Linked DNA regions of Pelodiscus sinensis. The protein of the gene in region 2 interacts with the protein of the main gene of each other region in a pairwise test. Links are inferred from orthologs where the notes say so. Each region holds a gene or a part of one and is shown on either strand. Other genes may lie near its edges.

The links.
Region 1: the proteins of ARL6IP1 (region 2) and SUCLA2 interact in binary tests that used the Homo sapiens proteins (3 or more experiments, as listed by UniProt). The two-hybrid records come from large-scale screens. The link is inferred for Pelodiscus sinensis from reciprocal best matches to the Homo sapiens genes ARL6IP1 and SUCLA2.
Region 3: the proteins of ARL6IP1 (region 2) and GAD2 interact in binary tests that used the Homo sapiens proteins (3 or more experiments, as listed by UniProt). The two-hybrid records come from large-scale screens. The link is inferred for Pelodiscus sinensis from reciprocal best matches to the Homo sapiens genes ARL6IP1 and GAD2.
Region 4: the proteins of ARL6IP1 (region 2) and ACSF2 interact in binary tests that used the Homo sapiens proteins (3 or more experiments, as listed by UniProt). The two-hybrid records come from large-scale screens. The link is inferred for Pelodiscus sinensis from reciprocal best matches to the Homo sapiens genes ARL6IP1 and ACSF2.

Annotation. Positions count from the first base shown.
Region 1 is NC_134711.1:288,709,838-288,717,124, reverse strand, and holds the start of SUCLA2 (succinate--CoA ligase [ADP-forming] subunit beta, mitochondrial), read left to right. Parts: upstream 1-4,282; 5' UTR 4,283-4,297; coding exon 4,298-4,441; intron 4,442-7,287. UniProt on the Homo sapiens protein: ATP-specific succinyl-CoA synthetase functions in the citric acid cycle (TCA), coupling the hydrolysis of succinyl-CoA to the synthesis of ATP and thus represents the only step of substrate-level phosphorylation in the TCA.
Region 2 is NC_134726.1:20,312,466-20,319,880, reverse strand, and holds the start of ARL6IP1 (ADP-ribosylation factor-like protein 6-interacting protein 1), read left to right. Parts: upstream 1-4,414; 5' UTR 4,415-4,567; coding exon 4,568-4,603; intron 4,604-7,415. UniProt on the Homo sapiens protein: Positively regulates SLC1A1/EAAC1-mediated glutamate transport by increasing its affinity for glutamate in a PKC activity-dependent manner.
Region 3 is NC_134712.1:225,581,946-225,589,303, forward strand, and holds the start of GAD2 (glutamate decarboxylase 2), read left to right. Parts: upstream 1-4,351; 5' UTR 4,352-6,344; coding exon 6,345-6,420; intron 6,421-7,110; coding exon 7,111-7,170; intron 7,171-7,358. Other genes in the region: MYO3A (myosin-IIIa), read left to right, coding at 1,041-1,155. UniProt on the Homo sapiens protein: Catalyzes the production of GABA.
Region 4 is NC_134730.1:14,006,066-14,014,044, forward strand, and holds the start of ACSF2 (medium-chain acyl-CoA ligase ACSF2, mitochondrial), read left to right. Parts: upstream 1-4,962; 5' UTR 4,963-5,107; coding exon 5,108-5,199; intron 5,200-7,979. UniProt on the Homo sapiens protein: Acyl-CoA synthases catalyze the initial reaction in fatty acid metabolism, by forming a thioester with CoA. Has some preference toward medium-chain substrates. Plays a role in adipocyte differentiation.

The DNA.
Region 1 (7,287 bases), on a different chromosome or scaffold from region 2:
CTGGGGGAGCTTCTGAGCTGCAGGGGCCAGATCCAAGCAAGACGGGAACCACATCTGGCCCTTGGACCTGAGGTTCTCCACCCGTGATTAAAGGCTTCTCAGCGCTGAAGATGTCAACAATGTAACTACTGATCAAAGGAGCAAGTTTGGTGTACCTGTTTTACTCAGCTGTTTGATAACTTTGTCTTTTGTTAATAAATTTTTAGTTACTAAGGATTGGCTGATGGTATAATATGTGGGTAGGATCTGTCTGATCCTTTGAGATTGGTAGAACTTCATGAACAGTGAACTGGCTTTTCACTAACCTCTCATCCTATAAAACCAGATTATCGGGATGGGAACCAAAAGCTGGAATGCCTAAACTGCTGTCTTGTTAACCAGTGTAATGCTACAGAAACTATTTTGGCACTTGTTTGGAATTTATTTATAAAATAAATCACCATTATTTGGGGGGGTGTCCACCATGTTACTTGCAGTCTGCCCTGAGTGTGGCATTCTCAGTGTGGTCCAGTTGAGGCACTGGTCAAAAGGAGGATTCTGCTTCAGTTCTTGGTTTCAGTGATATTTCAGCATTAACAAACACAGCTGATGCTGTATGCAGCAATTCATTGTATAATCTTGTCCTTTTTAGTTGGAGACGTTCTTTTTCAGAAGATAAATTGGCTAAAACCTCTGTACTTTTGATGGTATAGAAGCCCTGAATGTTGCCAGTTACATGACTGCAAGTTCTTCAACTATGAATTAGGGATGTAAATGATTAACTGGTAAGCCTCACCCTTAGTGGTGATACAGTTTTCTTTTTTAACCTTTTCCTAATGCTTCCTAACATTTGGTTAGCTTTTTTGACCGTTGCTGCCCATTGAGCAGATGTTTTCAGAAAACGATCCACAATGACTCCTAGATCTCTTTCTTAGTGCTAGCAGCTAATTTAGACCCCAAGACTTTGTATCTATGATTGGAATGATGTTTTCCAATGTGCATTACTCTGCATTTATCAACACCAAATTTCATCTGCTATTTTGTTTCCCATTCACCCATTTTTGATAGATCCTTTTGCAGCTCACCGCAGTCTGGTTTGGATTTAACTCTCTTGAGTAATTTTTTCTCATTTGCAAACTTTGTCATCTCACCCTGCCCTTTTTTGGTTAACTGGAGGGCCTGGTTGGCAGGAGCAGCCTAGTTTGAGCTCATTTTGTGCCTTTGCCTTTCTAATTTTGCCCGTACATCCTTAGACCGTCCCATGCTTTTCAGCACATTGAGCTACCAACATTTTCCATGCTTGCTTATCAGCTGCCATATGACCTAACTCCTCCCATTTCAAATTAAATTTTTTTAGGTCATTGATAATTGTGCATTTCCATGTCATCCTAAGTCTACCCCCTCTTTTGTGTTGGATTTTTTGGCTTCCAACTGAAACCCATAATTGGTAATTAGTTATGATCCATTAGTAACACATACTGTAGCCATCGATGTCTTCTCTTACCAATTATTTGAGACAGAGACCTTGCTTTAGCCATTTTTCTGACCCTCATCGTTCATTTTTCTTTCTTCATAGCTTCCTCTTAATATTCTCCACAAGCACTTATGATAATACACATTTAACTTCTGAGTATCTGTTTTGTTAAGCTGCCAGGTTTCACTGCCATAGGTTGCTATGACTACAATGACAATTGAGTAGATGCTTAGTTTTGTATGGAAGGATACAGTATTAAGTTTCCAAATGTTCCTAAGTTTACCAAAGGAGGTGTTTTCTCTGCTGATCCTTATTCTTATTTCCTCAGATCACATACCATATTGGCTTATTGTGCTTTCAAGATATTCAAATCAATCTACCCTCGCTAGCTCTTCATTGTAAATTTTGATGGTTAAATCCACATCTCCAATTACCATTCCCCCACATATTTGTTATTTGTTTATATTTATCCTTTGTATTTGACCTAGTTTCCACTTTTTGTAGGACTCCTTTTTTATTTTTAGGTCATTCAAGATCTCCTGGGTAAGCCAGGATGGTCTCTTGCGAGACTTCTTATCTTTCCTATGTAGTGGAAACATTTGCTCTTGTGCCCTTAATAATGTCACTTTGAAAAAAAATAATCAAAACTCTCTGTAGGGTTCCTCACCATGGTGTCCAGGCATGTTAGAACGTGGAATGTGTCAGTGATCACCTCAGCGTCACATGGATCATCCATTTGGGGGACATTATCATGACTAAGATTCATTTGTAGTTAAATAGTGCTTACCTTCCAAAAATCTCCAGGCCCTGAGCAAAGATGAATGTATATTATTAGCCTCATTTTGCAGATGGGGCATGGAGAGTTTTTGCCCAAGGTCACAATAATGACTAAGTGACTAAGGCAAGATATAACCCAGGTTTAGATTCCCAATATTGTGTCCTTCCTTTATATATATTCCAAGTACTGCCTCCCAGCATGAGTACTACTACCAAACTCGTTTATTATTATTATATTTCCTACCTTTCCCCAGAAGGGAGTGCTATATCCAGTACCCTGTGTCTCCCTATGTACATTGCCCTTACCCTTCTGAGAAAAGACTTATTGAAACTTTAAGAAACTGACTTATAATGGGGAAGAATGACACCTAGTGAGAGGTCATGGTGAAGGGTTCATTGATATGGGAGGAGCAGCTTTGGAAGGATTGATAGATTTTGGTGGGGAAAGAGTCTGGACTTCTTGTTTTTTTCAGGGAAGAAGAGTATTTTACCAAAAACCTACCGTATATATTATTGAGCTGGACAATTTTTGAGGGTGCCTTGCTGAAATTTTGGCAACACATTACCATGTAATGAGTACAAATACAATCAATATAGAACCATTCTTTGAGGTTCTGAAATACCAGAAGCATCCTAGCATTCTACTGAGTTCAGCAAAATGTTAATGGATAATGACAGCACATCAGGTACAGTGGAGTGCCAGCAGCAAAACAATTAAGCAGCAGTCACTGTGTACCCTACGGTAGTTGCCATAGCAAAAGCTGATTTAATCCACATTAGACTTGCCTGTGGCAAAAAATGCAATCCATCCTGTTATTTTACTATTGTGCATTTTCAATTGCTAACTGCATCAGTTAATTACAATTCCAATACTTCTTTCCTTCAGTTTAGATCTAGCACTGGAATACATAATTTATGGAAACAAACTGATCCCTGTACATTTTTCTTTAGTGCTATATGTGGAATGCCCTTCTCATCATAATTTGCCAACCCACTTCCCTTTCTTAATTCACATTTACTTTTAGAGAAAAATGCTCCTTCCAAGTAACTTGCACACTATTTTCAGCTCTGAATTTCCCAGTGCATTTAGTCTATTACATAGATCTGTTAATGGAACTATTCACATAAAGTTAAACATGTAAGTATTTGCAGAATTACCTGCCTAGATTGTAAACTCTTTGTCAGAGATTTTATTTTTGTGTTTGTGTGCGTGTATTGTATACAGTCCACAGTCAAGTAATCTGGTGGTGGTAAAAAATAATTTAAAAAATAAAAATAATGAACTTTCATTATAGAGATAGCTACTGGTATATGTGATATACTAAATCAAGACTATCTGGAAATAATGGAAAGATTATAGTAGGTCTAGCCCCTGGAGAAGTCCAGTAGTCCCATGGTCCCAGCCTTCTTGGCCTGACCCGACCCCCACCCCATCGAGCTGCAAGCCTCAGCAACCCATCAACTGAAGGCATTCTATTTTCTCCCCTAGCATGTGGCAACACAGCCCCAGTGCTAGGAGTCCCCAGCTCTGGGTGGTTCCAGCGTCAGCAGGCTCCCTAGAGTAGCCTGCATGAAGGTAGGAAGGACCAGGCATGGGTGGGTGGCTGGGGCCCCTCATAGCCATTTGGGAAGGCATCGCCTTCCCTTGCCTTCATTATTCACTGCCTCTGCCCATGCTGCCAGCCCCTGCCAACCGCACTGGTACCTCCTGGTCGGAGGTGCTGACTGGAGCTGCAAGGGCCCCGTTTCCACCAAGCGTTCCACTCAGTAACAGGACACCTGGCAACTAGCATTGGGGGGCTTTCCACGGATTTCAGTGGGCCTCGGGTCAGGGCTCCGTGAAGCCATCGTCCCTGGGGGGGAGACTCGTCCCAAGCGCTCCGCTCGCTCCTGCGGGGGTCGGTCCCAGGCGGGCGGGTTCATGCAGTGGCTAGTTTCCCCGGTAGGGGGCAGCGCTGCGCTCGGGGGCCTCCGAGAGACCATAGAGTTTCCCCGCTGGGCGTTGCCCTCGGGGAACGCCGTGTCAAGAGAGGCGGAGCCCTGGCCTTTTCTTCCCTCTAGCGCTCTATGGTCGCAGCGACGCGCCTGCGCGGTGGCGAGCGAAGCCGAAAGGGTTCGGCGGCCATGGCGGCGTCCATGATCTGCAGCCGAGTGTCGGCCGGGCTGAGGCACAACAGCAGCCGGGCGTCGCTCGGGGCCGCCGCCGCCAAGGTGACCCCCGTGGCCAGGGCGCGCGGGACGAGTCGGGGCAAGGCCTGGCTAGGGCGAGGGATGGGCGCCGGGTCGGGGTCACGGGCTGTGACATTCCGCCCGCGCCTGCGTCCGAGCTGGCCGGGCCCGGGCACTGGCGGGAGGAGTCGGCCCCGAGGGGCCCGTCACTTGACGGGGGGGGTCTCAAAGTCCGGCTCATGAGAGGCGGGAGCAGCCGGGGCAGGTGGCCTGGGACGAGACTCTGGCCCGAGGGGCACCCGAGTCCGGGCTGCGCGTCGGTGGGGGAGGGGAGTGTTGACACTTGTCCCCGGGCCGTTCCCACCTGCGACAGATGCTCAGTAACAGCTGGTATCTGCGCCCCATCGCTCGTGCGATGACATCCCTGTCGCCCTCTTAGCTTTGTGCAAACTGCTTATCTGCGGTCCCGCGGGCCGGTTGCTTCAGTAGGTGCCACTGCTCCCCTTTCTTCCCTCTCCCAGCTGCCGGCTCACGTGAACGTTTGTTTTGTTTTGGAGAGGGTCCAGCGGAGGGCAACCAAAATGATTAGGGGTCTGGAGCATATGACCTACGAGGAGAGGCTGAGGGACTTGGGTCTGTTTAGTCTGCAGAAGCGAAGAGTGAGGGGGGACTTGATAGCAGCCTTCAACTTCCTGAAGGGAGGTTCCAAAGAGGATGGAGAGAGGCTGTTCTCAGTAGTGACAGATGGCAGAACAAGGAGCAATGGTCTCAAGTTGTGGTGGGAGAGGTCCAGATTGGATATTAGGAAAAACTATTTTACTAGGAGGGTAGTGAAGCATTGGAATGGGTTACCTAGGGAAGTAGTGGAGTCTCCATCCCTAGAGGTGTTTAAGTCTCGGCTTGACAAAGCCCTGGCCGGGTTGATTTAGATGGGATTGGTCCTGCCTAGAGCGGAGGGCTGGTCTTGACGACCTTCTGAGGTCTCTTCCAGTTCTGATTCTATAAGGGGATGGTTGGATGAAATAACATGATCTTGGTAACTAATTGACCATTCATTTCCAGTTGGAAATAGGTCAATGGAGGGATGATAGGAGTTGCTATAGGGAACTTTCTGGGTGTCTGGCTGGTGAGTCTTGCCCACATGCTCAGGGTTTAGCTGATCGCCATATTTGGGGTCAGGAAGGAATTTTCCTCCAGGGTAGATTGGCAGAGGCCCTGGAGGTTTTTCGCCTTCCTCTGTAGCATTGGGCATAGATCACAGCTGAAGGACTCTCTGCATGTTGGGGCCTTCAAAGTATTGGAAGGCTTCAATATCTGAGACATAGGTGAGAGGATTATTCTAAGAGGGGTGGGCAAGATTCTGTGGCCTGCACTGTGCAGGGGGTCAGACTAGATGATCATAATGGTCCCTTCTGACCTTAAAGTCTATGAGTCTATGAGTCTATGAGTCAGCCTCTTCTTGCTTCCCTTCGCCTAGCTGCAGGAAAGCTAATATAGAACAAAACATGGGCTAATGAGGCAAACGGTTCGGTTGGGTTGTCTGGGCTTTCCCTTGCCACAAATGGAGAGAGGCTGCTGCTGTTCCTTATGTCATATTACACGGCCGCATCTTCGAGGGGCGCTTGATGGTTAGTTTGAGAAACAGTAGCTCACCATTAAGTTGAGCAGTGAACAGAGTGTTCAGTTACGATAGTGATTCTTGAGATATTTAAGTAGGTTTTGCTCTCCTTTGTCAAGCCTGAATTTCGTCAATCCTTGTTTGCTTTTTTTGGGCATTGGAAATATAAAAGCCCCTTCAAATTCCAGGACCTTTAAAGATCCGTCTTCAGTTAAAAATCAACATATTTAAATGTAATTGTTGCTAATATCATCTTTAGTCTAAATTAAAAGTGGCATCTGACGAAGTGGGTCTTTGCCCACGAAAGCTTATGCTCCAACACTTCAGTTAGTCTATAAGGTGCCACAAGACTCCTCGCCGCTTTTGCAGATTCAGACTAACACGGCTACCCCTCTGATACTAGTCTAACTTAAGAGACTCTTAAAAACAAACATTTCTTGCCCTTTAGACAGTTTTGAAATTGACAGCTTCAGACAACTTGGGCAACTTTGGCTCCAGTTTTGCAAATTGGTGTATAAATAAAACCCATCGACTTCTTCAATAAGAAAAAAAAAGTACAAAAAGTTAAACAATGTGCTATTCTAAACTTCAGCTTAGAAAACACCTTTTTCTAATATTGTTGGAAACCATTCCCTTTTGTATTGTAAACACAAATACTTGGTTTGTGCTGCCTTGAAGTGTATTCTTTAAATTGGGAAAAATTATTCTGTGTGTCCTGGGATAGCTTTTCAGAGTCTTATTCATATTGCACCATTATCAGCGTTGTATAATAGGATCAGAATTTCATCCTCATTTGCTTTGTGTGTCCTTTTGTTTTTGACTAGTGTTGGTCCAGAAACTCAGTGTGTCAGCTTCCCTGAAGAAGTGACTCTGTTGATAGTGGAATAGTGCTGGTTTCAATCTTGGGCATATTTTTCTCTACTTGGCTTAAATGTTTTTGAAACTGGCCTCCCTTCTATGCAGCCTTCTGGTTTAGGGATGTGAAGGATTAGTCAACTAGTCGACTGTCCGATAAGCAAATATCGGATAGTCAACAGGATAGTTGACTAGTTGCTCTCTCCCTGCTCCCCCTTGCTGCCTCTATCAGATAGAGGCAGTGGGGAGGGAAAGGGGGGAGAAAAGAGGGGTACTTCACAGCAGCAGCGTTGCACAGAACCTGCTGTCAGCTGGGGGCGTCCGCAGTTGACCCAGGCTTCTGGGCTTTCACCTTTGAAGTGTAGCAACAATGTTGCTACACTTCAAAGGTGTAGGAGCCCTATCAACTAATCGA
Region 2 (7,415 bases):
TGCTAACTGCTGCAAGTTATAAATTTCTCTTATCTGATCTTCTAAAAGAGACAGCGGGGCGTTGGTATGATCATATGCTCCCAATGCCAGTTTTAAACTAGGGAGTAGACCTTGATAACACATCCGTCGAAATTGAGGAGTGTCACAGAAGACGCCACCCCCCTGACCATTCTGTGGGTTAGATAACCAAAATAAGGTCCTTTTCCGTATAATATAAGAATCAGGTTTCTCTCCTATCTTTTGGGTGTCTGAATAAGCTTTTCCCATCAAATCCTCTTGAGGGAAATAAACTTTGTAGACAGCTGTGAACAATTCTTTAGGTTCTATATTAGGATTACCAATCACCTTGTAAGGCAAAGCCAAATAATCTTCGACTGGCATGCATTCTTTTAACAAAACAACAATGTCCTCTGGGCTCAGATTCGGGGTAGCACACACTCTGGCAATCCAGTCTACTACCTTTTCCCTGTTACATGGCCCTATAGTCCTTCCCAAAGCACGAGCTTGTTCTGGAGTTAACACTCGCTGTTCCTGTTTTATAACAGGGCCTGGTTGTCCAGGATACTGCACCCTAGTTGTGGTAATAGGAGCCATAATTGCTAACTCCTTACAGTCCTCCCCTCCTTGATACTGTGGAGGGGGAGCAGAAGGAAAACAAGACTCCTCTTCATAGTCTCCCAGCCAATCCACCTGATGGTATTTAGGTTGGATTGCTGCTATCACTCCTTTAGCCATCCCTAACTGTTGTTTTAACTTAGCAACCTCTATCTGGCACTGTGAGTGGTCCCCAGCAACCTTGGAGCTACTAGCCTCCTTTAGAAGCTGTCTAATAACTGCTTGGTTATCTGTAAGCTGTTCATTCTGCTCTAGTATGGTTCTTTCCAATTTACTTTTCTTTTCTTCCAATTCCATCAATTTACTTTCCAAACTAGAATTTTTAACTGTTAAACCTTGAACTTGGGAGTCTTTAACCTCTAATTCTGATACCTTCTTTGCTAATGCATTCTCTACCTCTACTAGATGATTTTCCTTTTCATTATCTCTGGCTTTTAGCTCTTTAAGCTGTGAGGCAAGCTCTTTGCTTGTCATTGCTAGCCCATACAGCAGTGCCCGCTTTTGGTGTTTACGTTTAGGCTGAGGTTTTGCTCCCATATACTTCTCCCATAGGTTAGTAAACTTTTCTAATGAATCTTCCCCTTTAAAGGACCCATCCACCCAGGGATTAGCTCCCGTTCCATAACTATTTACAAGCATATTCAACAGACAATTTATTGTACGCCGGTTTCCATCCCTCGGTGCCGAAAAGCTGCGGTGCTGCCATGGCTGTAAAAGGCTGCTTACCCAGCCTCCACTAAAGAAAACCAAGACACCTGGTTATAGCAAGGCTTGACTGCTCAAAGCCTGCCGGAGGTGTCTTGCTAGAAAACCGGTACACAAAAACACCCAACAATAAATGCTACAATGACAGAGGAGTAGTTATATTGCTTCGCCTAAAAAGCAGCAAGCGGCAAAGGGGTTTAAAACCCGGAAGTAGGTCCGCGGCCTACTCCAACCAACTGCTCCCGGGGATTGGGCCTAGGCCTTGGCCAGCCAGGCTGGGAGCCTGCTGCCGTATGGTGAATCGGGTTCCAGAGGGGCGTCCCCACTCTGCTACTCCCGATATCACTCTCTGACAGAAGAAAAAGGGATAGGGGCCCGGGGAAGATGCCACCCCGAGTCACTGGACCGTATCTCGTTGCTTACTGTTGCTGATGTTTGTCTCTGGCTCCACTCCTATAAGTGGGAGTGATCCTAGGGCCTGGCGGAAACCAAAGCTGTTTCTCACCAGGTCCTGCCGCGGTCGCCAAACTGTTACCCGGAGAGCTGGGGTAAACAATTGCTGTGCTATGGGCTATGCAATTTAATTAAAGCCTAAGGTGCCCTCCCACAGAAGCCAGATTCGGCCTGGTATCCTGTATCTAATCACCAGGGAAACAGCTTAGAAATCACCAAACAACAAGAATTTAGGGCCAAACCATGTATTTTAAATGTAAGACCAAACATTAGCAAACAGCATACAACTCAGCAACAGTCCCACCCTAACCCTGGAAAAGAAGAAGATAGAAGAATCCCATACACACAAGGGTATACATTACATTCAACGCGGCGATTGATGTTCGATGTCCGTGACCTTCAACCTTGCGGCTAGTGAAAAGCCTTAAGGAAGGACAAACGGAGCGATCCCTCGATGGATACTTCTCGCCTCCTGCGAGCTGACGCTTGGTGGGCACCGGATCCTGTCCGAGTATCCGTAAGCGAGACAGTGTTATAAGTCCCAAAGTCTTAGTGGGAGCGGAAAAGGCTTCCCTTATTCCAGTTAACGTCACTAGCAGTGGGTAGTCTTGTCAGACTGCAGGCTGGAACCTTGGCCTCCTCCGGGTAGACGATGACACAGGGCAATGATGATTACAGACGCACACACAGGACATGAAGGGGGCCAAAGAACACGAATGCTCTTTGACAAGGGTATATAAACATCTCATGGCGGGAAAACCATGAAGAGAGCGGGGTGCAGAGAACTAGAGCTGGGTGCATAAAACTTGGGTGCCGTGTGCAGAGAATGGGTGCACACACAGGCAATTGGGCGGTGTTCACAGCCTTTGGTGCTGAGTGCATAGGTTTAGTGCTGGGTGCACAGCTTTCTTTTACCTGTTTTGGCGGGAAAACTGCTTTGAGGGAAAAAGAACCCCTCAGACTCCATTTTGTATTATGCCCAGGCAACAGTACTATCTCCCTTTTCGCTGGAGGTAGGTAGTGGGGCTTCTTGGGAGTAGGGGGAAAATGGGGGGGTCTGGACGCCTTGCGATCGACTGATCAATCACGATCGACCTGTCGGTGTTGGCTTTAAGTGGTTTAGCTGACATTCAGACCATTCATGTTCCTCTGTTGGCCTTCCCTTTAGCTTCATCCATTACATCACTGTCCATAGATGCTTTTCCATTTACCAGAAGCAAAGGGACTGCACCTACTACGACAAAACTGTGCAGTGTGTGCCAGAACGGCTCTGTCCACACCATCCCCCGAAGTACTTTCTTGAACTTTGCATTCCTGAGTTATGTGTTGTTCCCTAAACGTTCTTGCTGTAACATCAGAGGATGTTGTACTTCCCAGAAGCAGCTGTCACCATCCCCAACTTGCTTTGTCTTTAATTCCACTCTGCTGTTTTCTTTTCATTTCCTTGTGCCTAGTCCTCTTCTGGGCTGGCCGTAGTGGTAGTTGCGGCTGTGCCACTATGGACCAATGTCTGTGAATTGTTTTTGTGCATATGGCAACTACTGTGGCAGGCCCCTGTAACCAAGTACCCACTAATAGGGTGTTGAGAGGTTTGGCATGCAGGCAGGGGCTCACAGCTGGGACAGAGGGTTGGTTGGGGGCGGGGGGAAAATGAGGTGGAAGCTCAGGGAGTGAGTTTGGGTATTGGAGGGACTCTGGGCTGTGGCAGGGGGTTAGGTGTGGGATGGGTGCAGGGTCCCAGCACCACTTGGGACACTAATGACAAATCAGTCATTTTGGAGGCAGGGATGCAGGTCAAAGGCTCAAAACAAAGGGCACGCTGAGCAGAGAACCTCAGACCGTGCCCACTGCTCCTCAGAACTGCCTAGGAGCCAGCAGACTCTGTTAAGAGGATCTCTGCCAAGATACGTGCAATCAGGGAGGAGTGGAAATAGGCCCCATAGTTGCAGAGCATGCCCTCGTCCAGCAGCCACCTCCTCGTGTGATAGATGGGGGCCTAGGCCAGAGCCAGGCCCAAGGAGGTTGGGGTGTGTATAAACAGAGATGCAGGGACAAGGGCAGCCAGACGCTCAGCAGGAGGTTCTGGGGGAGCTGGAACAGGCGCTGCAAGCTGGCGCTCTCGAGGCAGGCGTGTACCAAGGTCTCTGCTGCGGCAAGGTCAGGAATGGGGGTGAACCACACAAGGTACACGCCTGCGTGAGGCTCTGGGAAGGAGCCGCCAACCCGTGTCCCCCAGGGGCCCTGGGATCAGCAGGGTAGCAGCTGACCGGATGTTTAATGGCCCAGGCTGCCATGCCTGGATGGAAAACCTGTCAGCTGTGAATGGGGGAGCCCATAGCTGTGGGCGCTGATGGTGTCATTCCCGCACCCACCGCTGGGAAACGGAGGCAGCTCTGAGAGCTTCTCATCGCCCCCCAAAGGAGAAAGCCCCGCCCCCATTTTCCCTTCTGCAAAAGCTGTACGCTGACGTCACAGGCCCAGCGACCAGTTAACGGCTCTCGGCTGAATCTGATTGGCCGTTGCCTGTGTTCAAACAACAACGGCAGCAGGCTCCCGTAGCCGTTGGGCGAGGAGGGGGCTCTGCGATTGGCCTGACCCAGCCCTTAATTCGGCCAATCAAATTGGCGGGCACCGCGTTGCGGTGGGACCAGCAGTTTCCCCCGCCCCTTCCAGAAGCCGAGTCTATAAGGCTGCGGGCAGGCGGCCGGGCGGCTGCTGCGCTGTGTGAGGGCTGCGGCGAAGGGCTGGGCGCAGCACACGACTAGACGCAGTCGCCGCAGCTGCAGCGTACAAAATGGCTGAGGGAGACAACAGGAGCGCCAACCAGCTGGTGAGCGGGTGTTGCGGGCGGGCGGCCAGCCGGTGGCGGGGACGTGAGCGTCTGCGGCCCTGTGCGCCAGCATCTAATCGCCGGGGAGGGACCGAGGGAGTCACTGCGGCTGCGTCTCCTTCTCCCCACCCCCATTACCTACACGCGTCTTTAGCGCGCCCAGCCAGCCGGGCGCTGCGAGCACCGAAAATTGACCCCCTCCAGCCTCCCGTAGCGAAGGGGTCCCGTAGCCAATCCTGCCCCTTTCGCCCGCTTCCGGGAGGCGGGGCCTGCCCTGTGGGCCTGTGGCAGGGAGACATCTGCCCCCGGCACACTGGGTCAGGAGGGGTTGGGCAGCCGCAGGCCGGGTGGGCCCCCTGTCGGCCCCCACTGCCGCAGTCCCTCGTGGCACCATTGGTCGCTGCACCCGAAGGGCTTCGCCCTCTGACACGCTTGTGGGGTTGGCCACTGCCCGCTAAGAAAGGGGGCTGGGGTTAGCTCGGCTTCCAAACAAACGCCACACGAGGCTTGGGTCATTTGTGCGTGGCCCAGCCCTGGATGCAGTTGTAAAATCAGACCGCTATTTGCGTAATCTGTACTGGGTTGTTTTCTGCTCTTGTCATCTCTCAGCGAGAGCCTAGCGGCCTTTTCTTCGGCCTCTTCCTGTTTCAGCGGATTTCGGTGCGAGGAGCTTTTTGTGAAGTAGACAGCAGAAGGTGCTAGGTAGTTGGTTAGGACAGAAATAAGGGATGGATTTTATATCTATATCTATGGAAGAAGTGAAGACTTGATGGGTGGTGGTACCAGAACAGGGAAAGGATGGATATACTTCCATTCTGTTGAAATTTTAAACCAAACTGAGAAGTAGTTTGGAAATATATTTTCTACCTGTATTTTAAGACTCTTCAATTTACGCTATTTTAAAAATTCCAAATGAACAGCCAATAAATTGAAGGAAGGAAATTATTTCCTTAAAATATAGGAAGAAATAGTGAGACTCACTAGATGTACGTGCTGCCAAATGTCCAAACTAAAATAAAAACCTGGAAAAACCATTTGAATTCACTTCTTAAAAGAGAGCTGAAACAGTAGTCAGATTGAGTGTAACTTCAGTGTACATTCTCATTGCCGAGGTATTCTCTAGTCTTGAAGGCTGGTGGCTTAACCATGAGTCCTGCCACCCTCAGCTGCAGGCCAATATGATTCTTAGCCAGCAGATAGAACAGAAGGTTTATTACTTGACAGGGATACATCTTAGACTAGGGATGTGAAAGTGTAACCGTGTACATGATTACACACAGGCTTCTGGAACATGCAGAGAGCTGATACAGAGGCAGCAGTGAAGGGATGGGGTGGGGAAAGCAGGCTCCTTGCACACACTGACTCCCAGGGATCCAACTGCCACCTCACGTGTAACTGCTGAAAATGTCAGCGGTTAGTTACTTATATGCATTTTAACATCCCTAGGACAGACTTGTCAGCACCTAAACCAGAAGCAGTCAGCACAATCCAGTTGGGGACAGGAGGCTCAGAGCCAAGGCCCCTGTACCCTCAAACCACTGAGACTAACCCATCCACTCGGAAGCCCACCCCCACCCTGCAGTTAGCCCCGCCTTGGCCTTTGTCCAGCTTCCTGGCAAAAGGTGTCACCAGGTTACACCCCCAGCCCTTCGTAGGCTTAGGTTACAGAAAGCATCAGTCATTGTGTGCAAGAAAGAGATACGGAAATTCTCATCACTATCTCTTTTTAGGTATTGGAGCAGTGCCCAGGGAAACTGACACACACACACTAGGGATGTAAGCCACTAATCAAGTCACGCAGCAAAGGTGGGGAGCAGGAGCTGGTGCTGCAAGGAGATAGTTTAAAAGCTGGCTCCCTCCAGCAACATCTCGGGGGGGGGGGGGGGCAGGGCAGGAGAGGCAGAGGCGCAGCGGGGGACCGGGTGCAAGCCAGGACTCAGCTATCCCTGCTTGTACTTGGTCCCATATGCTGGGCCTTTGCCTCTTAAATGTATCAAGAGCCTAGTGGAAATTCCATCGACTACTCAGTTTAGCGGATTAAACGCAATTTAACATCCTTAACACATACACGGTTTATTGTAGGATAGTAGAAATCACATGCGACATAACAGTGGATACAGTTACCACTTTGTCACAGTGTTTAACCCATTTATTATTGTTTATAGAAGAGCAGAGGGTTTTCAAATGCTGTTATAAGGGACCTTATTTAAAGTGATATCCCAAAATCTCTTTTAAAAAATGCTTCATGTACATTTCAGAAAATGCATGGGAAGCAAAATGTGCATGCTGGTTTTGAGCTCTAATAGTGAATAAGACTTTCTAATAATCATACTGGTATGATAAGTTTTGTTTAGTTGTATGCAGTGACAGTGTAGTTAAGTACTGTATGCTGGCACATAGCTCACTGATTTTTATTTATTTTTTTACTAAGCCTAGCTTTCAGCTGCACAATTTGAGTTGCTGAGATCTTATCAGTGAAAGAGACACATGCTTTGGTCTGCTGCAATACGTGCAGCTATGGGGATTGATGAGATAAAAGGGCCAGAGACAAATCATCTCTTCCCCCCCACACCCCCCTGAGTATGAGCTCCGTTTGCACTTCCTACCCTATGGGGATTTTTCCTTTTATCTCCTGAAGGAACTATGTATGCCATGCCTCTTGAGTCCAGACTGCCTGGTGGATGAAATGTCTGTCTGTCTTGTCTGTCTGAGATTAAGGAGCTCGCCACCTGGTTTTTCAGCAACAGAACTGGCTAACTGCAATTTGAGTAGTCTTTAAACATGCGGAGCCCCAGTGCATATTGCCTATGTT
Region 3 (7,358 bases), on a different chromosome or scaffold from region 2:
GCTGTCAGTTTTCAGTAACTGTATTGCAGTAACTGGCGTAACTGCAGATCTAGGGTGCATGTAACTGAGCATAATTTAGCCCCTGTTCATGGTTTATTATTTAAGTATCAACTACAGTTCTATATTCAGTGCTTGAGTTGGGCTTCCTGGGTAAGTAAAAAAACAGCAAGCAAATGGTCTGGTAGCACTTTATAGACTAACAAAACATGTAGGTGGTATCATGAGCTTTCATGGGCACAGCCCACTTCTTCAGATCACCGGAGTTATGATTAGAGGATAAGAAAACTTGAAATAAATAGGAGAAGGGAAAGGGGGGAAGATGTTGTTTTGTTAGTCTATAAAGTGCTACCAGACCATTTGCTTGCTGTTTTTTTCTGTAACGGACTAACTCAGCTATACCCTGAAGCTCCTGGGTAAGTAAGGGGAGCACAATTTAGTCCTAGAGAAGTGAATGCCTTTACTTGTTTGTTGGCAGTTGGAACTCAGTCCTGGATTCCTACATGGAGTTCACCAGATGTTTCTGTATTTATATCAAAACAATATATACTTTCCAAACAATAGTTTTATGATTAATCTCATTACACAGCAATGACCTCAGTTCACTCAAACAGGTATACTGAGGACTAGCTTTCAAAAATGCCCCTTGCCACCTGAAAAATGTTAGATGGAGTCTATACTGTAACAGACCCTCAGCAAGTGTAAAACAGAAGCTACCTGATTTACACCTGCTGACAATCTGATCCAGTGTTAATAGGCAAGATTTAGCTATTAATAAAGCTGCCTTGCCTGTTATCCTGACTATTTTAATATGTCCTTAATAATTCCCCCCTTTTTGGAAAAAGCATATTTTCTCTGAACATTCCTCTATTCTGCTACAATGTATTTGATCTGGAGTGCCAGCTCTATTCTGCAGTCAGGAGAGGCCTTGGAAAGGCAGCTGTTCTTGCTAAGGGTAAAGGCTAAGAAGTCAATTAGCAGTGTTTGCTGTAGGTAAATGTTTTGACTTTAATTTCTAAAGCACTTCTGCATTTAATACTTAGGTCAAGGGTTGCAGAAAGCCCCCTGGACGAGAGCAATACTGAAGATAATCCCTATGACTACAGAAAGCTCTTGCGGAAAACCTCTCAGCGCCGGCGCCTTATCCAGCAATTTTAGCTGCTGCTGCCATTTGGCTTTTATTAGTCTAATCTTTTTTATGATTTTTGTACCATATTCTTTTTTGTATCATTATCACTAATATTTCGGGTTTATGGTTAATATGAATTACCATAGTTTCCAGCCCAACACTGTTTTAAAGGGACACTGTCAAGTTAAAAATGCATATTTTTAAAAAATTGATATTAATATACTTTCGATTACTAAAACGGAACATATTTTTCAAAAACTTCTCCCTGTATATAGTTTTCCTTTTTTACACTTCTGTCATTTCATACTAAATAGTCAGTTTCTCTTTTTCTTGTGGTTATTTCCTAGTCAATTGACATAATGCTAACACACACGCACAAAATGATTACTTCACTAGTCACCTTTAAAGAATTCAAAAGAAACATTTATTTTGATTTTAGGTCTACAATACCTAATTTTTGGGCCAAATCTGCATGTGACAAATGTCCTCTTAATACAAATAAATGTAAATTGTTGTTTGATAGTATGTTATTTTCATATTGACTTTAACTGTGGTAAAGCTACTGAGGAATGATGTTTAAAGGTCAATATAGTGCATATATTATTTACCTTTACCATGAGGGCAGAGGAATGGACTTGATCTCTTAAGGTCCCTTCCAGTGCTAGTATTCTATATATTCTATACCTTGGAAATATTTTTATATACAGGGAAATATAACCATAATGCCCTCTTCTACCCCTGAGCTTTGTGGCTAAATGGTGAACTCTTAACTCTGTTTACTTTGCGCACTCCTTTCTAAATTTGCATTGAATTTTTGGAACCCTTAATTTTAGAGGCCCTGAGAAGTGGGAAGGAAAATGTGAATTGAACTATTGTTGCCTAAAATGCAAAGACCATTTAAATCAATCAATTCCACCAGTAGTGTATTTGTACTATATACAAAAGACATAGCCATTATGTTCAACATTTCATCCAAATTCTTATTTTTAAATAAATTATTTTAGAGAAAGGATGTAAATAACTAGAACATTAACTTTTATGCTTGACAGTGATTAATAGCTGCATGTTCTTAGCTACAAAGTAAGAATGGCAGATTTCACCATGCCATTATTCTGAGCAGTGTAAGGGCCAAATCCTGGTGGCTTACTCAAGCCAGGTGTTCCACTACAGTGATTTCTGGTGGGAGTAAATCAGCAAAGTAAAGATGTCTGCACACACTGTCGTTAGCCATGCTCGACACTCTAATTTAGCCTTCTTTCCATAGACATGTAATCAGTACTTTGTACTTTTACAGTAGTCAAAAGATTAAAAGCCATGTTTAAATTTCTGCAGTGTAATATGTGCTAGAAAATACTGGGTTTGATTTTTAAAGTCCTCTTAAAATTGCTCTCTCCATTATTAAAATGGCAAAATAAACAAACAGTACAAACATCAGGACAGGTGTGGCTGTGTTTTAATTACTCCTAGCACAGGTGTATGGGTGGGTGGCCGGCCATTTTCTGAACTGATGAAGGCACTGTGCCTAGTATGAAGTTAGTAGCATTTCTGCATGTATTAACATCCAGGTCAACCAAAAGAGAGTGGGGGCAAGTCAAGGTGCAGTTATACCCTCCACTGGATTGAGTAGTAGGTGAATGAGCCCCATCAACGAAGGGCAGCCTTACCCTTCACCCCTGGCACCATCCCCATTTCTCCCTCCTGTTCACATCCCAGTTTTCTCCAAGAGTTGCTCTGGATGTGTACAGAGAAATCATGATGTTAGTTGGGTTGATTAGATTAAATGCAATCCCTCCAACTAAGTAAGAGGCAAGCCCTATGTCTTCCTGTCAGTAGCTGTCTGTACACAGGGAACTAATTAAACTGTATTGCTGCATTTGTCCAAGAACTACATCAAGGGTGGGCATATACTACCCTCTGCAGGCCGGGGCTGCTCCATCTTGCCTAAATAAGCTGGGCCTGAGCTGTGTCTGCCCCATAGAGGGCAGACTCTAGAGAACACTAGGTTCTAGGTAACACCCACCGTGTGTGTCTGTGACTGCCACAAAGAGAACGGATGGTGGCTGTTAATTTCAGGCTTCCCATGCCCTGCGAGGTGCTAGTGCAACAAAGGAGCACAGGAGAGAAAAGATAAGACATTTACTACACACACTAAGTGGTTGTATCTACAAAGAGTAGGGGAAAGAAGATGCCCAAAAAGCTGCTACAATTTGGCTCTCCCCTGCAAAGTGGGCACTCTGCACTGCCTTCTCTTAAGGCACCTGTTTGCCAGCATCCTTCAGGGCTAGTCACACTATGATAATGGTGCAGAAGGGCAGAGGGTTCATCTAGGTCCTTGGCATGACCTGTTAGGGTACGTCTACAGAGCAACATTGTTTCAAAATAACGAGCGTTATTTTGAAATAACTTAGTGTCTACACAGCACATAGTTATTTCAAAATAATGTTGAAATATTGTCAAGCTGAAGGACTGCTTACTCTGACTCCTGTAATCCCCATTGTATGAGGCATAGGGGAAGTTGGAGGAAGAGTGCTCTATTTCAAAATAAGTGCTGTGTAGACACTCCCAATTTCGAAATAAGCTATTTCAGAGTAAGCTGGTAATTGATGTAGCTCAATTTGTGTAGCTTATTTTGAGTTAAGCCCTGTTGTGTAGGCGCACCCCAGAAGCCCATCTTTACAGACTTGGTGCCAGCATAGGCTAGCTCCAGCTGGCACACGAGAAACCCGTGGCGGGGGCGCAAAGCAGAACGGACAAAGGCCTGGAGCAAGCTGGGAAGAGGCACTAGTCCATGCCCGCGGCAGCCAGATGCAATTCCAGCCTGCAGCAGCCACCCTGTCCAACTTGCATCTACCCAGTGGGAAAGCAGCGTGGTCTGGATTACTAGGGGTGCGTCTACACAGTTCCCAAAACTCGAAATAAGATATGCAATTTGCGCTGTACACATTGCGCAGCTTATTTCGAGTATTTTGAAATAGCTTATTTTGTCATTTGGTGCTATCTACACAGCACCAAATTTTGAAATACAGTGCTACTTGGAGCCATCCCTTACTCCTAGTACAATGAGGTTTACAGACATGGCAAAACATATTTCAAAAGAGCAGATGGTTCAAAAGACGCAGGGTAGCGATTTCGGAATACCTCTGGTATCCGGAAATAACTTCGCTGTGTAGACATACCCTAGGGGGCTGCCACCTCCAGCCAAGCTGGCCTCCCGCCTGCTCCCCTTCACCAGCCAGGAAGGGCCTCGGCATTTGCAAAGCCGAGGGGCTGCCATGGCCTAAACCCCGCCTGCGGGAGCGGAGCGGAGCAGCGCCTCCCACCCACCAACGCCGGGCTTTTCAGCGCTGCCTGGGCCGGTCTCCCAGCTGGGCGCGACTCCCCACGACGTCAGTTATGGAGCTGCTGGCGCGGCTTTGTGCAGCGCAGCGGGGCGGGCTCGCTTTCCCGAGCCCCTCGCATACAGCACGTGGGAGGGGGCGCCGGGAGCAGCCACCCCAGCAATGGGCCGTGCGTTTCGCTGCACAAGGCCACGAGCCGCTGCTCCCAGCGCGGCGGTAATGTCAGGGCCGGCCCCTGCCGCCCTCTGTGCTCCCGGGCCGCCCCGACGCGCACCAGCGAGTGCTCCTTCCGAGGCCGTTTCAGCGCTTCCCTCGCCGCGGGGCTTGGGCCTTGCCTCCGGCGGGGCTCGCGCTTTCCTGCCCCACGGACGGTCCGAAGGGTTTGCTCTGCTTTACCCCAGCTCCCCCTCCTAGCCGAGGCAGGCAGCGCCTGGCCGGGGTAGATGGTTGAGCTGCAGTGAGGACTGGTTTGCATGCGGCTAGGCCTTTGCAATCAAGCCAACTTGTATCTCTGTTCCCAGATGCAGTAGGGGTGCGCGGGTGGGCTCTGGACAGGCCGCTCCGGCGCGGCGCCCCCTGACGGTCCTGCAGGGCCCAGGCCTAGGAAGCTGCAGGCCTGGAGCTCGGCTCCCGCCTGGCCCGGCTCCACTGCCCGCTTCGCTTGGCGTCGCGCACAGGCGAGCCCTTGCTCTGGTCGCTCCGCGGACGAGCTCAGAGCACGGGGGGGTTCGCGGAGCTTGATCGGCCTTAGCCCGGCAGCCACTGCGGGGAGACAGACGGGGTGTGACCTGGAGCCAGAGCGGCCTCCTTGTTCCACAGCATCGACTTCGCTGGCTACCCCGCTGCGCTGGCCTTGGCACAGGAGAGAGACACATTGGCCTGCAAACCAATGGCACGTGTGGGAGCCCGGGCCCGCAGAGCCCCTCATTAGCAATCCAGCAGCTACCGCCTGGCGCTGTGGCGGGTTCCGGAGGGGGCCATTTCATCCGCTCTCTGGAGCCACAGCCAAGGAGCGGCGCGCGGGCACGGGGCTGGGCCCCAGGTAAAGCAGTGAGCAGACTCAGGGCGACATAGGAACAGCCGAGGCTCTAGGCACATCCCCCACCTACCCCGCGGTAGCGGTGTGAGATCAGACGGCCGCTCCCCTCCGGCGCACACTGACGCCAAAACAGCAGCTGGCTCAGCCACCCGCCGTCGCGCCTTGACTGCAATGTGTGTGACCCCGTCAGGCAAGCCCGCTCCCCCCCCCCCCCCCGGCCAGACGTGCGTGGGACCGATCGCAAGCCCGAGGCTGCCCCAACTCAGTTCCTTTGTGCGCCTCAGCGTGCCCCGGGCCAGCCTCTCGCCTCCAAATGCCTCCCTCCGGCGGCCGAGCCTTTCTCCCCACTCCCCGCTGAAGCTGCCTGGACACGGACGCCTGGGCCCCGCGCTGTGCGTGGCCACGAGCCGCTGTTAGGCAGCGGCAGCCCACAGCCCAAGGGGAGTCGTGACTCGCGCCCGCCGCCGTTCCCCGCCCCAGGCGCCCCGGGCCGAGGGCTCCAGCTGGATAAAAGGAGAGAGCCCGTCACCCTCCGCCCCCCCGTTGGGCCGAGACGCGCGGGCCGGAAGAGGCAGCGGCTCAGCACCATGGAGAGCGCTTAGCGTCTCTGCCCCTCGCCCTGTGCCGCGCGCGCCCGGTCTGCCCGGCCCCCAGCCCTGCTGCTGCCAGCCTCCCTCTCTCCCGGGCCCCCGGCGAGCGCCAGGGCGCCGCTGACACTCTAGGCGCCGGCGCACGCTGCCTGGCGCTCGCACACGGGGACACTCCCGCCCTGGGACTCTCCCTCCCTCCACACAGCTCGCTGCAGCTCGCCCGCTCCTAGGCACGGCTGGCAGCTCCGCAGATGGCAGCGCCAGGCTCCGGCTTTTGGTCCTTCGGCGCGGAGGAGGGATCGGGGGACGCGGAGACCTCCGGCACAGGTAGGAGCGCGGAGCAGCTCTGGCGGGGGATGAGTTCTCCACCACGTGCCGACCGCAGCTAAGTTCCCAGCCGCTTCTCGCCCGGGGTGGGCGCCCAGCGCGACCTGCGCCCGCATCCCTGCCACAGCCAAGCGGGCTGGAAACCAGCTGTCCGGTTCCTCCCAGGCGGGTCCTGACCCGCCACAGAGCGCGCACTTGGATGCGGATGAGGCAACAAAGAACTACCTGGGGAGACTCCAAACACCGCCAGGGCAGCGCTGGCAAAGAGAAACGTGGGCAACCAAGCTCCCCTCGGGCTTCGCAAAAGGAGCCGGGACCCAGGGCTGGGTTGCAGGCTTGATTGTAAAGGCTCCTCCGCTGCAGCTCGAACTGGACCAAGGTGCCGCAGGATTCTCCAGGACAGGAAGGAGCGACGCCAACATAAACCTGAGTCTACTCCAGGGGGCTTTTATCTGGCTGGGGGGGTCTCTTTGGGGTGAGGGAGGGGAAGGGTTGTGCTGTCATGGGGACGTTAGGAAAGCCATACTCTGCTGCCCGGAAAGCGTTTGCGCTTCGAGTTGGGAAAGTTAGACACAAGGGGCCAATCCAGGCGTCCAGTCTGGAGCAGCCCAGGACACTTGCGCCACGCCGTTTTCGAGAGGAGGGTATGAAAGGCTCCCGATAATATACACGGCCCTTTTTCTCTTCCAGCAAAAGCGTGGTGTCAGGCTGCCCATAAGTTCACGGGAGGAATTGGAACCAAACTCTGCGGTAAGCGAGGCAACGAGTGGTAGCAAATAGCATGAAAATAATCAGTAAGCAGAAACGAATTCTCAGCCACCGGAGGAACCCAGGATTGATTCCAAGGTCCTCTTGTGCTGGCAGAGGGTTAGCGGATCGCGGCGGGGACTGTGCTCCAGTTCCAGTGTTTCAAGCGCTGATGTATTTAGGCTGCGTTC
Region 4 (7,979 bases), on a different chromosome or scaffold from region 2:
GATCAGCCACTGAACCAGAAATAGAACCCAGGTCTCTTGAGTCATAGTCTGGTGCCCCTCGGTAACATTATTTAGTTATTGTGTGTACAGTACTTTAAAGATGTAAAATGATTTTTATAAGTGCTAATTGTTCACTACTTAGCTAAGTGGACAGAGGCTCTCAGAAATGTAGGCAGGTTTTTTATAGCTAAGTTTCAGAGAAGATGTGTTCATGTGGGGATGATTTAGTTGGGATTGGTCCTGTTTTGGGCAGGGAGCTGGACTCGATGACCTTCTGAGGTCTCTTCCAGCGCTAGGATTCTACGTGTGTTTCTGCAAAAACACCAAGAAGCCCTGTGGCACTTTACAGACTAACAGATGTATTAGGCATAAGCTTTTGTGGGCTGGAGCCCACTTTGTCCAATGCACGAAGTGGAAATTTCAATATGGCAGGGATGCCTGCACATGGAAAGACAGGTGTGTTACCTGGGTCTGAATGGAGACTGGGACTGGCTAGCTCACTGCAAGAAGTAATTTTCCTCCTTTGGGAATCTCACCTTCTTCTCAACTTTTAGGAACAGGCCACATCCACCCTGAGGCTACGTCTACACTGCAGGCTTCTTGCGCAAGAACTGTTTTACGCAAGAGTTCTTGTGCAAAAAGTCTTCCACAAGAGTGCGTCCACACTGCCATGTGCTTTTGTGGAAGAGATGTGCTTTTGCACAAGAGCGTCCATGGCAGTGTGGATGCTCTCTTGTGCAAGAAAGCTCTGATGGGCATTTTAGCCATAGGGCTTTCTTGCACAAGAAACCCCTGTTGCCTGTCAACACTGCCTTCTTGTGGAAGAGCTTTTGTGCAAGAGGGCTTATTCCTTGTGGGAAGAGGAATAACTCTTGCACAAGAAGCCCTCTTTTCTGATACTTTAATGTAAATATACTTGTGGAAGAACGCGTGTGCAGTGTAGATGCTCTGCAAGTTTTTGCGCAAGAACAGCTGTTCTTGTGCAAAAAGCCTGCAGTGTAGACATAGCCTGACTGAATTGACCTTGTTAGCACTAGTCCTCCACCTAGTAATATAACACTCCCATCTTTGCATGTGTATATCCCTGCCAAATTGAAGTTGCCACTTTGTGCATCTGATGAAGTGGGCTCCAGCCCATGAACACTTATGCCCAAAGAAATGTGTTAATTTTTAAGGTGCCACAGGACTCCTTGTTGTTTTGGTATAGACAGAGTCCCTGCCACTTGCCCTCACATAGCTCTGTCCTACTTTATCAAAGGGTGTATTTAGGATTTGCCACATCTCTGCTTCCGTACATCTTCAGTGACATAGAGTGGAACTCCAGCCTGCAGTTGAAGGAATCGGTGCCAGCAGATCACTGAGTTTGCAAGAGGAAAGTGAAGGCAGGAGCAGTCTCTCAAGGTGCGCGAGCCTGAGCGACTGAATCAGAAAGGGGCTGCAGGGCCAGACAGGCTGCTGCATATGAGTCCTGTCCACCCCCCAGAAAACTGTGGTGAAACTTTATCCTAATGCTGCCTGGGCTTTGGCAATTCTCATGTCTGCATGGTGCTGGCTGATACTGAAATGCCAGCCCCCAGTGAGTGCTGCTGTCATTTGACAGTCCTGCATGGCAAGTTTGCATAATTTTTAGTGGTGCCCAGAATGGGTCCAAGCAGAGTCATCATAGGGCAGACCAGGGCAACCGTCGTGAGCCCCCGCTTTGGGGGGGGGACTCTGTGCTTCAGGGGGACATAGGCTCTAGGCAGGGGGACCAACAGACTTGCTGGGCACCTGGACAAAGTATGTGCATGTGTTGGGAGGGCTGGCTCCATGCTCCTTGAAGGGGCAGGGTCTCAGGTGAAGGGGGCTAGGCCTCGGGTGGAGAAGACAGGGTTGGGACAGCCAGCTCTCAGTGCTACCCAGATCATGCCATGCCACACAACCCCATCTCTCAGAGCCACCTGCAGTGCACTGCATGGCACTCCAACAGTGATTTAAAGGGCTCGGAGCTCCGGCCACTGCTGCTCCTTTGGTAGCAGTGGCAGTGAGCCCTAGGCACTTTTGAATTGCTAGGTCCCAGGGCAATTGCCCTTTCCCCCCCATCAATGGACCTGGATCCAGGGTGACCTGGAAGATTAGTGGGTGGGGCCTGGTGCTGGCAGCAGCCGGACCCACCCTGCCAGCTGCTGGCATTTCTCTGGATAAGTGGGTAGAAGCTGGAAAGAGGCTAGGCAGGAGCTTGAGGGAAGGGGTGAAATGAGGGTAGAGCAGGGGCAGGAGGGGGAAGGGCTTGGGGGAAAGGGTGGAGGTGGGGAGGTGGGAGCAGGCCAGGGGCAGAGGGGAGGCGGGATGGGATAGGAGATTGGTGAAAGGGGTAAAGTAGGAGCAGGGAGGGCTAGGTCTGCATCTGGGTCACTACTACTGGTGCCAGGTCCCTTGCTAACTTCCCAGGCCATCCTGGTTTCTGTGTCCCAAAATGCAGGGCCAAGGGCAGTTGCTCCGGTCTGTCCTATGGATGGGATGGCTCAGAAAATATAGGTCCAAACAATGGTGGAGCTGAACCCACATTCCTGAATATTTGTGGAGCATAGGCACCATGGGAATCAGAGCAATTTTTGCAGCACCCGTCATCCCTAAGGTTCAGCGCTACTGTTATAAGCCCATATGCAGGAGGGTGTGAAGGGTGCAAAAGCACCCCTATGATCTCCTAAGTAAGCATGCTCCGGCCAGCCAGAGGAAGGCAGGAGCAGCGCTGCGCTCTGACCAGCCAGGGGAAGTCTGGGGCTGATTTCCCTGCTTACTTGGGAGACCATGGGGGGGGGGGGGGTGCATTCACACTCTTGTCCACATTTACAAAAAAAAGCACGCCCCTCCAGAAATTCCTGCATACAGGTTTATGTTATAAGCCCAAAACTGTTTTCTCCTTGGGGCTAGGTGCTTCAGAGAGCTGGGTACCTCTGTTTTCAGGGGCTGCTGTCTGGAGCTGCCTTGGTCTCGTAGGTGTGGTGATGCTACTCTGGTGTTTTTGAAGTAGCTGTGCAGCACCTGACTACTCTTCCTATCCCGTGAAGCAATACAGGGAGCTGGGCCCCGAGGCACAGGCTCACATGGGCAGGGAGATGCATCACTACTATGGCATGTTTGACACGAGGTTTGGGCGGTGATCACAGCACTTGTAATGTGAACAGGCTGAAGGACATTTGATAAGTTACAGGGAAAGGGTGATTCTGCAAAAGAGAGGCCAAGTTCAGGGCCGGCTATTTCAGGTTAGATGGAGAGAGGCAGATGTTAGGGGAGAGCCAGTCTGGAGAATAGGGGAAGGGACAAATATTAAAAAATGATAAACTTATAAAACCACAAATAGTATGGTAGCACTTTGAAGACTAACACAACATTAAAAAAGGGACAGTTTTGGCCTTAGGTTGCAAGTGGGGTAGCTTGGGGAACAGGTAAGAGAAGTAGATACAAAGGCACAGATCTGAGGTAAGGGACGGTTGTGTATGATGGGGCAGGGTCCAGGGAAGAGGGACAGTTTGGGACAGTGGTGAGACAGATGAGTTATGAAATTCTCAGCCTCTGTATTCCTCCCCCTTCAATTAATTTAAAGTTGTTCTGTGTGCAGAGCAGTGACGTGATGCCCTTATTTTAACAAGGGGCTCCTCCAAACATCTCTCTCTTAGCTTGTGCCTATGTCCCAGAAGGGGAGTTGGAGCAGGACTAGGAAATCTGCTCTTTGTTCAAATGAGGAAATGAAGTTTTCTCACAACAGGAACCAAGCTGGAAGGCAGCAGCGCCACTCAGCTAACACACTGAGATGAAGCAGCTGCAAGTGTCCACATGCTGCTTCCAAGAAATACAAAGAGTGTATTATATAATCCAAGTGTGTCCTTGTACATGCAGAGGGAGAGCTGGAGACTTTGCATTGATTCTGGAGAGCCAAATCATACCCTATTCCTCACTCATGGGGTAGTCACCTAAGGAAGGGCAAACCTTGCAGCCACCCAGGAAAGATTCAAATGCCATCCAGCTGATTAGCCGAGCCCCCACAACCAGCAGCACTGTGTTTCTATTGGTGGTGCACATCCACACATATGCCTCAGTGCAGGTCACAAAATTTGTTCTCCACATGGATGGAAAAAAATAGAGGTAACACTGCAAGCAAATCAGCATTTTTATGAGCTCCAATTACATACCATTTCTGGCAGGATGATTGAACAATATTCCCAGAGGTGTGTCTCCATCTGAGGCAGGGACATCTCAATTTTACCAAGGATGGGGGAACCTGTAAGGATGGGCAGCTGGCTGGTTTAATGGGTAAGGCTCAAGCTAGTGGGAGAGAGCTTCTAGTGAAGTTGTGAGGGGCCCCGTGAGTTGCTGAAGCTACTGCAGACTCTCAAGCAGCCAGCTGACTTGCTTGACTTTATTGTTTACACAGCACCACAGTGCGTGCTGGCTGCTTTTCGGGACATGACCCATCGCTTCCTATGCTCTTCCTGCTGTTTTTACCCAGGCCCATTTGGCCCCGTTTCCTTGCCCCAATTATTCCCTCTAGGAAACTGCTTTGCTTTTTCTTCGGACTCTTCCCAACCTGTCCCCCTCCCCCCGCTTTGCCTGCTTCTTTAAGAGACTCCCCCCCGCCCCGGTCGTGGGGCTTGCCTCCTGCTGCTGCTGCACCCCCCTGCCTTGAACGGACCCCCATGCAGTTCAGTGGCTCCCCGCACCCCCCCCCCACTATAGGAGTGGTTCCAGCGCCCCGAGAGGCGGCTGGGAAAAGATCGCGTGTTGTGAGCGAGGGGTGCCAAGGGGGTGAGGTGGGGGCTCGCCTTGCGCGCCTGGTCTGGGGCCCTGCACGAGCTCGCTGGGGGGGGGGGGGGGAGGGACCCCGCCTGCAGCAGCGGCCGGGGCTGCGCGCGAGCGGTTTGGGGTTGGGCGAGCTGGCGGGGGAGGGACCCAGAAGCGCCCCTCGAGTTCCTTCAGCGCCGAGCCCTGCCTGCGCGCCCCGCCCCTCCCCGGGCCAGGCGGTTCCGCACTCGCAGCTCCGCGCGCCGCCTCCTGCCCGAGCTCCCGGGAGCTGCCGTCGCGGGTGGCGTGGGGCTGGGCAGTGGGGCGCAGCGCCCCCTACCTCGCCATGGCTGGCGCCGCCTGGCTCAGGCTGTTGGCTCGGGAGCTGGTGGCTGCGCTTGGGAAAAGCCCGGGGCTCCGGGGCGTTCAGCGGGTCAGGTAAAGCCTGAGAGGGGAGAGGGGAAGAGGCACAAGGATGGGATGGGGAGGGGGGAGATGCCGGGGGGGGGGGGGCGTTCAGGGCCAGCTGCGGGAGGCAGATGTGCAAGGGGGGGCTCGTGGGGACAGGTGAGGGGTGGCCACTAGTGTGTTCTGCGCAGGGGGGCAGCTTGGGCATGGTGAGCAGTGGAGAAGATGCCCTGCAAGGCGGGCGGTTTGGGAAGGGTAGGAGCCAGGGGCAGGCAGGGGGTAATGCAGCTGGGCAGGTTGCCTGGAGAAGGGCAGTTTGCAGATAGGTGGGGGACGTGCACCAGTTGGGGAAGTAGGAAGGAAGCAAGTGCCAGCAGCTAATCTGATGTTTACGTTCCCCTGGGCTGCATGTCAGCCCACATCTCTTTGATTCTTCTAACTTGGTGTCTCTCAGCCTTCCTGATACCTGGGACCAGCTTGCTGTGTCAGGGAGAGTTTGGGGCAGCACCCTGAGAAACACGGCTCTAACTCACTCTGTGTCCCCTGCACACTGTGTGGTGGTCAGTCCTTGGGGCAGATCCCTGCAGCTCGGGAGCCCCAGAAGCAGTGAGTAAAGTGGGGGTCACACAGGCCTGGCTGTTTTAAAATTGAGTTGGGTCTGCCAGGGGCTCATTTTACATTCTGCTTTACAAAAGCTGCTGCCTCCAGATTATTCTACACTTTCTCTCTCTCTCTCTCTCTCTCTCTCTCTGTTGGAAGCAGTGAATTTGGGCCCAGTGAGAGAGGGTATCTCAGTACAGCCTCCAGCCTCTGAGCCAGTCTTTCCTTCCCCATCATGTACTCAGTGATGATCCCGTGAAAACCTCTCAAGTGTCTCCTCCAGCCCCTTCTATGTTACTGATCCCAGCAGTTGATTTTGCTTAAGTCTGTTGATGCTCCTTCTTGCAACCCAACAAGAGCCCCTCTGGGTAAAGCTGTGATGCTCATAAGCACAGGGTCTCAGACAGAAGAGACCTTTACAATGTGTGGATCCCCAAGCTCTAGGGGGCAAAGGCAAAGAGGGCATTAGGTGAGTTGGTCCGGTGCAGTTGGCTGGAAAGTGAAGCTACTGTGTTATTGAGCTGGAAATGGTTCTTTGCCATGCTTGGTTTAAAAACTGGCTGTGGGATTGGTGGTGGAGAAGGGCATGAAGCTTTCAAATCCCACCTGCCCTACAGAAAGGGAATGGCTTTTTCATTATCTCTGTTGAATTCCCACCAGTGCAGTTGAGACCGATGCTCATCCGAGCAGTGATTGGGAAGAAATACCTATTTTTCTTTTTCAGTGTATTATTTCTAGTTTAGGGGTTCTCAGACTGGGGGTTTAGATCACTCAGACAATCAGGAGTTGTGAACCTCCATCCCAAAGTGCACTTTGCTTCCAGCATTTATGATGGTGCCAAAAATGTATAAAAGTGGTTCTTAATTTATAAGGGGGCAGCACCCTGAGAAACACTGCTCAGTGTTCTTAAAAGTGGTTTTTAATCCCAAGGCTTTGTTGTGTTAAAGGGGGTCATCAGTACAAAAGGTGGAGAACCACTGTTCTAGCATTTCTTCTATAACACGCAAGCGAGCCATGAGGGAGGTGTTTGTCTGTGGGTTTAGAGACCAGGCCAGCATTGGGAGCTCATTCAATGACAATGAAACCTAACACACTATTCTCATGAAACTGCAGCTGCCTGGGATCAGCTGCCTGGGAAAAGAAGTTCCCGTGAGGTGTTGAATCTAACCCTGGACTGTAATTATAAGGATGGGTTTGAATTCAGGGTGCTGGGTGTCTAACTGAAACTCTTTGGAGCAGATTTTTTTGTGGGGAAAGGAAGGTGCAGTGAAAACTTTAAGCCAAAATTTTACTAGAATTCAGAATGCAAAGGCTTCATTAAAGCTCAAAAAATGTCCAAATCATAAATTCCCAGAAGGGACCACTAGGATTATGAAGTCTGATCTCTTGTATAACACAGGCCATACGGTTGCTGTAAATCCTTGTTTAAATTTTGATTCAAACGGACCAGGGTCATTGACAGGTGGATTGAATTGTAACCTTAGGGGCTAATGCCATGTGCCTCTAGTATGAGCTAAAAGCTGATTGCCTCTCAGCTCAGGCTATAGAGCAGACTTTACTCTCCCTTGTTAGTGGTTTCAGTGCCTCTGGGTTATACCTGGTTTAATAAAATCATCTAGTTCAAAGCAAAACTAGTTTCTGGGGAGTAAAACTCGAGATGGGTTTGTCAAAAATGTCTGCCTTTAAAGAGTGAGGTAGGTATGAGGAAACAGCAGATCAGGGTGAATTTTCCTACCCACCCAGCAAAAGTTGCAACATGGCTACATTAGAGTAGGGTGGCCAACCTGTGGCTCTTGAGCCACATGCGACTCTTTGCTCACAGAAATGCGGCTCTCAGGGTTATGTCTCGTTCGGAGCCACATGCCCATTTTGTGCACACGCCCCAGTTCCTGGAGGGAGAAGTGCATGGCTGTGGTGGTGGCAGCTCCGGTGAGACCCAGGCATTGGGTTAGAATGGGAGGGGCCTGCAGGGGGGGCCTGGGTTGGGGGGGGCATTGTGTTAGGGGGAAGCAGGGGTCTGGCTCTGGGGGAAGGATGTGCAGCTCTTTGCACTACTATCCACTGCCCTTTTGGCTCTTCGTGTCTAACTGGTTGGCCACTCTTGCGTTAGAGCCTCAATCATGAATTGCTATGGTATGGGAGGGAGGGGGTAGGAGTCTCCCCAGAGCAGGTAGAAACTGGGATGGGGAGGATGTGTATACTGGGCCTTC